Linked DNA regions of Tribolium castaneum. The protein of the gene in region 2 binds, or shares a complex with, the protein of the main gene of each other region. Links are inferred from orthologs where the notes say so. Each region holds a gene or a part of one and is shown on either strand. Other genes may lie near its edges.

Region 1 (4,429 bases), on a different chromosome or scaffold from region 2:
CTTGTGGTAGAGTGAGACCAAATGCGAGGCTAATTTTCGGTCGAAAAGCTCGCTTTGGGGGTCCAAAATCAGAAAAATTAGGTCAAAGCGCGATAAAAGAGTGTGTGGTAGTTGCACGTTTTCGATTATGGTTTTATTTTTGTTCCATTGAGATTCGGACGGGTTTGCGGCCGCGAGAATTGAAGTCCGGGCGTTTAACTGGCAGATTATTCCAGCCTTGGCTATGCTCAAAGTCTGTTGTTCCATCACCTGTAAAAACTCTGTTTAAATTTTGATCAATTGCTAAACAATTCTCAACTCGCCTCGTGCAAGACACTGCGAGTCGAGTCGTTCATTTTGTCGAACTCGTCGATACAACAGATGCCGTTGTCGGCCAAAACTAGGGCCCCCGTTTGCAGAACCAACTGTCTAGTCTCGGTGTCTTTGGTCACATAGGCTGTTAAACCAACAGCTGAGGAGCCTTTCCCTGAAGTGTACTGACTTCGGGGAACCAAATTATAAACGTATTGTAAAAGTTGTGACTTGGAGGTTCCCGGATCTCCACACAGCAAAATATTGATTTCGGACCGAAAATTCGTACGACCTGACGTAACAAATTTTTTCTTCGTTCCGCCAAACAGTTGTAAGAGAATCCCTTTTTTGACGTCGGCGTTTTCGTAAATCGACGGCGCTAAAGCGTGAGCTAGCCGTTCGTAAATATCCTCTTTTTCTGAAAGGAGTTGTAATAATTCGATCCGTTCGGGTGGAAAACGATGGTCTTTGCTGGAAGAATAAGAGGGGAAGTGAGTTATTTTTTCACTGTGGTGTTTTTACCCGTCCTCCTCTTCGTATAAGCGTTTCGTGTCGATTTTACGGAAGTGGAGGACGTCAATGTGTGTTTTGTAAACCGCGCGAAGGTTGCGTTGTCGGGGGTTCACTTGAAGGGGTTGCGCTCGGTAAATCCCCGTTACGGTGACCCTGTCGCCCGGTTGGACGGCGTCCACCAGGTCGTTGTGGGCGAAGAGGACGACGGTGTGCGGGGTTTGGCCCGCAGGCATGTCGTCTGACCAAAAACATTATAATAATAAAAAAAAATAAAAAATTGTGCTTATGATTTAACTAGAAAACGTTTTTTTTATGTAACTGTAACGTTTAGTTAAGTGGGTAAGTGTTAAGTGTGGATTAAATAGAAGATAGATAATAAAAAATCTTCAATTCTTCCCGAGGTTGGCGACAAAAATAAATTTTTTCTTATAGTTCAAACAATTTTTTTCAGTGTAAAATATAAAAAAGTTGAAATAAATTAGAAAAGAAGAAATATCATGGATGAAGATAAACTGGGATCATCTTGTAGAATGGTTAAGAATAAAAAATAAAAATAAATCCGAGGAGAAAACATAAATTAAAAAAATACCCGGGGATTCCTGCAATTTGATCATCTGTTTGTCGGTGAACTGCGACCGATTGTGGACCAAAGTAAAGCAGTGATTGGTGTTACAACTGGTGCAAAGAGTGGGTTCGGTAATGCGCCCCCTGTCAATTTCCACAGTCGTTGTAAAGTTACAAACTATACATTTGAAAAATGCCTCTCTCATCTCAGGCATTAAATTCGATGTACGGATGACCATGCCAGTGATTGTGATCAACTGATCAATATCTGTGCAAAAAAATAAAATTTTATATTAAAAGATTTTTTTTTGGAAGGAATTTAACCTTCAGGGTTCAGGGCCCTCATATTTCGTGTTTTTTCCGCATTGAAGGGCCGGACTTGAATCTGGTGCTCCAATTCAGCAGCAGGATAACGCTCGTAAAACATTTCGTTGATCATCATGTCAAAAATTGGAATGACTTCTTGAGGATACGAAACCAATTGGCGGTATAAATTGGCGTCAAAAGTCTCAATGTGAGAACAGTTGACGTTCAAAAACGGCTCTTCGAGGGTGTTTATCTACGAAAAATAATTGCTACACGATCAAGTTTGTGATCAATGATTTTGAAATTAAGTTGGCAACAGATAAAAAAGACAAATACGATTGTTTTTTTTAAATTTGTCTGACGCTTAAATCTGATAGCATTGCCAACGTAATAACAAAGTCAACGCCTCTTTGATCATGATAAGGTTCGCACCTCGTCCAATTTTTGAAAATACAAGGGTTCGTTAACATTCATATCATCAGTTCTTTCATCTTCTTCCGCATTTGGATCAATAAACCGCAAAACAAACTGTTTGAACTTCTCTTTACATTCAGCAACTGAGACATTAGTGCCCCAAATGACCAAATGCGGGGCTGTACTGCCCTCATCACCCTCAGCAACCGGATCCAACTAAAAAAATCGAGTCAAAACGAGCTCAATTTTTGAAACAGTTGTTGAACCTCTCCTCCGACATTAACTTGTCTCATCCTCCGATCAGTCCTCACATCGGGCCGCATCCTAATTGGGGTCCCCCTAATCCCCGATCTGGGGGTCCTGATGGACCCCAAAGAGCAAGGAGTCCCGTAATTAAGTGGCGAAGATAAATCAATCTCGCTCATTGCCACCGGTGGGCTTGTGACCCCAGCCGGAGACGAGGGGATTTCCCCGCCGTCGGCGTCCAAATCACGTCGGGCTCCGCCCCAACGCATTGGGGTATCAATGGTGTCGCTTTTGGCAGGAGTTGGGTTCCGTCTGGGGGTCCGAGATGGGGTTTGGGGAGGGTCCTCACGAGCTGGGGTGCGGTGACCTCGAGGGGTTTGACCCCCGGCAGGTCTGCGTCCCCGAGGAGTGGGCGCATCATCGTCGCGGTTTGCGCGAGGGGTACGATGGGGGGCTGGGGAAGACATCTAATTTGGGTTTTTAGGTGGAGTTATCGCTGATTTAATCACTTACCGTAAATAAAACAACAAAAAATGTGTTGATAATGTTTTTTTACACAATTAACCAACTGTTGTTGCTGTAAAAAAGGCGGGAAAACGCTAAGTAGTTCGTGGAAGAGGTTGCAGATGACGCGCGCTTTGTTAATAGTGGCTAAAGTTTCAACGTGGTTTTAATGATTGTTTACCCCATTGTTTGTAAAATTAAAACTTTGTAACAATGTTGATTTGTAGATAAAAATTCTGTTAAAACCGAATTTTATAAAGTTTACGTTATTACATTATTTTCAAGGCTGCTTGGAGTTGCCTTAGCTACAAAGCCGCATGCGCACAGAATTTTGTTTTAAAAATCAAGTGGCTTTATTGTTTGTTGTGAAAATTTGTTGGTGTTTGTTGCTTAAGACTTTTTTTGGTGAAAAATCGTGCAGAATTGGTGTTGGGTGTGTTCCAGATCGAGAAAAAGGTAGGTTTCACATTTTGTTATTAATTTAAGGTCAAAATTTTGATGTTCTTGTGCTTGAGCTCCCCGTATTTCTCAAATTCGGACATTGTGAAAATCTTATGCATCTTATGCACTACAGCATTTAAACCTTTCTATTAAAGATATAACAATAAAGATAGCAATATAAGGCCCCAAAATTGAATTTTTTATCATGAATTTAACCCTACATAGAAAAAATGAATGGTATGCAACCAACATTACGAACGTGTAATTCTACAGTGAACGGACTACTTACTAAGTTAATAAAATTTTATTCAGAGAAAATGATTTTTACCATTAAATAGTAAAATATCAAAATGTTATGTAATAAATTTCATCAGGCACATACCATTATTTTGCTAAAATTTGTGGAAGGTAAAAAAAATTGGTATGGGTGAAATAAAACATTGTTTTTTCAATACATTTATATTTAAATTTTCACAGATGAAATTTGATTGGATAACGAATAACCATTACACCCTTCAAATAATTACAAAAAATGTAGGTATGTAGTCGTGAACACTCGATTTAATTAAAGGTAGGTAATATTTACAAGGCAAAATAGTTATTTATATACAGTTATATACAACATGTACAAATTCTGATATAATCTCTTATACGATATATAAAAAGTCGTATTTAAGTAACAGACTTGGCATTTATTTTTGAAAAAAATGATACATCGACGTATCCTTCAGATAATTTATAATTATCACATTTATTTTCATTACCTAGGTTTATGTACAAAATATACAAAAATAACACTCGTATAAATGAAGCGAATACAAAAACTTTCAGTAGGCAAAACGCATTTGACAAAAACGGCCTATACAACAATGATTTCCTTGAAGCTAGTAACATTTTCATAAGTTTATCTTTTTTACAACCACTCGCGACGACGTACACCAGCGAATAAAAAATAAGAAACCCCACCCTCACAGCACGTAAACCTTCCAAGATATGTTAATTTTGCCAAGCGTAAATAATTCCCGGAAGAAAAAAAGTAAACCCTTTGTTCCCAGTGAATTTAGCCTGTTGGTACAATTTCGTTGGTAGATATAAGAATACTTAAAACAATTATTGGAACCCTGTCTTTGGCAGCGTTTACAGGGAAGTC
Region 2 (2,704 bases):
TAAATGAAATTAATTAAAACCACCACTATTTTGACATTTACCACAAATGGTTCAATCAAAGTAATGCCTTTTCATTTCCATGGATAACTAAATATGAAATTACTAACTTGTTCAAGTTCGGGGCTAGGTGATTTCTCAACCGTTTCCGCAATTTCTTCCGGTTGTTCCAACATAAGCACCTCAAATTTTTCTTTGATAAATTCAAACAAGGAGTAAGTCATTGACATTCCTAAATACTGTTGCGCCTCCTCTTCCACCGCAGACACAATCTTGTCTTTCAAAGGCTTGATACTAAACACACGACTTGAGAACGAACTTTGAACAAAGGGGAGCACTTACATGTGTTTATTGTAAAAAGTGTCCATGTTCACTTTAGGTGCTGCGTTGGGGTACTTTTCACCCCATTGTATTTCCAATAGAAATGATTTCGTAGCATCACTCTCCCCATACTGAAAAAATGGTTATTGTAATTGTTTTGGGCCCCCAAATGACTCACTTTATATTGGAAGGTGTTGGACGAAATCTGCTTAAAACAGTCGTCTCCGTCGTAAATTGACGACAGAACTTCGCGCTCTTCATCCTGAAGCTCAGTCTCTGACATTGTAACAATTTAAAACATTTCTATTTACAAAAATGTAAAATTTTCTAAAAATACATAACCCAACTTTCGGGTGACATAACCTTAATAATTTGACAGAAGACAGATTTCAAAGATTTTATTTGGATTTTATACATAATCAAGAGTGAAAACTAGTGGAGCTCCGTGAATCTGATACAAAGGATGTGTCCTGGGAACGCCAGCCGTGAAACGGTTTAAACTAAAAAATTCACATAACCTCCCTTTTTTACTAGAAAAAATCACTCACGTTTTTCATTCGGCGTATCTGATCTAAAGTGTGTGGTAAAATCGGTCTAATCGAATTAATTTCCATCAAAGTTAAGTTTGTAACGACAGCAGAAGCCCCATTATTCCGAACCAATAAATCAATTGAAGACCTCAATTTTGACATTCTTATGTCCCAAATATCTTTAATTATCGTTCTTATTTCATCCGCACGTGAAATATCATCAGAGGCGCACCCCAAAATTTGTTTCGCTTCGACCATGTAGAACTTACTGGGCATTTTCGTAAAGTTCCTACAATTTTGTTGCACTTAAAGGCTAACAAAAGTACTCACACCTAGAAAGTTTCTCTTCGTTTTTAATCGCCTCCAAAGTCTCGATTTCCATCCAATCAGGGGGTTGTATTTTGCAATGTTTTTGTCGCTTTAATTGGACAGCAACCCATAACGGTACTTTAACAGGCATACCCATACGAAATGGGCCAAAATCACCCGAAATTAGTTTAAGGTAGTCATCGTCTGTGGTCAGTGGGACAATCGTGACTAGTTGTTTCTCACCCAAAAATTCAACCTCTTCAGGATCCATTTTTCAATGGTCGAAGATTTTTCACGTTTGAATAACCTCAATAATTTTGGCGCCAAAAGTAAGGCGCATGCGCGAAATTGAATAATGCCAAGTTCACAAATCATTTAAAAATAAAGTGCGAAAACCGTGTTTTTTATTTAATAAATTATACTATACATGACTATACTAATATATAAGGGGTTGCGCGCTGTCTTACACCCACAGAATCGTCATAGGTCTTTTTGTCACAGTTACCCTTAACGACACAACTTAGATTTTTGAGGGGGGCAGATGGGGAAAATTTTGCGTGACTTCAAAGAGAAAACGACAAAGACAAAGATGTGAAACATTTCAATCAACTCTTAATAGGAAGGATTATTTTGCTCAAAAAGTTTGATAAATGCCTGTAATCACACTTTTGGAAAAATTGTCAAGAGGGCTTTGACTTTACACCAATACGCTGCTTTTGACAGTTGTCACAGTTAGTACCACCATGTATAGATAGTCCTGGTGAACCAACTTCCCTTATTTTCCATTGTCGGGCGCAAACCAAAATGTGGAGCAAGTTGGAGCTTTTATTTTATCTGACAGATGGCACCAGCGTAGACTGGGACTGTCACAATGTTTACAAGAAAAAAGATACACGCATCACGTTGTTAAAAATACGACATTTATGAAGAACAATTAATACCTGAAGGATGCCAGCACCGAATGGTAGTGGAGTTTTTTTTCTGGAAAGCATTTATTCTGACTTCAATGTTTCGATGTCTTTCGCGGCCGAAAATGCATCGAACCGAAGTTTAGAACTATTCAGAAAATATTATTATTTCAGCGCGAAAAAAGCAGAAGTTGTTACAAGATGACTAACTTGGGTGCTGAGATAACATTTTTTAATTTCGCATCATTTTTTTTATAAAAAACAAAGAAAATTTGTGAAATTGTGACAGTCCCAGTCTACCGTGCTGCCGTCTATCAACTTGCTCCAGCGTTAGAATCAATTATAATAGCGAGTTGGTTTACCTGTCTGTCTCTATATCGTGGTTAGTACTAATGTTGTTGTTATCTCTCAGAAAGTCAAATGAAATTTCCTAATAAAGTAATGAAGTACAAGAACAGTCTAAAAGAATGCATGTAATAATTACTCCGCTTTTTTTACGTGATGAATGCTTCTGGTGTATTTGTTGTAATGCGGATTCCTTTTGACAAAGAAATGAAAGTAAACATTCTCCACAATTAATACGACAACACTGATGAAATAACCAATAAATAGAGCTACAATTGCCCCAAAAAACTTTTT

The links.
Region 1: Psf2 (region 2) and dpa share a complex: the UniProt entries of both Homo sapiens proteins name them as parts of the CMG helicase complex. The link is inferred for Tribolium castaneum from reciprocal best matches to the Homo sapiens genes GINS2 and MCM4.

What each region holds. Positions count from the first base shown.
Region 1 is NC_087396.1:22,083,762-22,088,190, forward strand, and holds the start of dpa (DNA replication licensing factor MCM4), read right to left. Parts: upstream 3,006-4,429; 5' UTR 2,848-3,005; intron 2,802-2,847; coding exon 2,355-2,801; intron 2,305-2,354; coding exon 2,107-2,304; intron 1,928-2,106; coding exon 1,693-1,927; intron 1,637-1,692; coding exon 1,394-1,636; intron 1,043-1,393; coding exon 814-1,042; intron 763-813; coding exon 303-762; intron 250-302; coding exon 1-249. UniProt on the Homo sapiens protein: Acts as a component of the MCM2-7 complex (MCM complex) which is the replicative helicase essential for 'once per cell cycle' DNA replication initiation and elongation in eukaryotic cells.
Region 2 is NC_087395.1:26,564,251-26,566,954, forward strand, and holds Psf2 (probable DNA replication complex GINS protein PSF2), read right to left. Parts: upstream 1,436-2,704; 5' UTR 1,429-1,435; coding exon 1,181-1,428; intron 1,138-1,180; coding exon 867-1,137; intron 819-866; coding exon 738-818; 3' UTR 702-737; downstream 1-701. Other genes in the region: RWD domain-containing protein 4, read right to left, coding at 108-291, 340-449, 497-601; glutamate receptor ionotropic, kainate glr-3, read right to left, coding at 2,474-2,495, 2,550-2,704. UniProt on the Homo sapiens protein: Required for correct functioning of the GINS complex, a complex that plays an essential role in the initiation of DNA replication, and progression of DNA replication forks.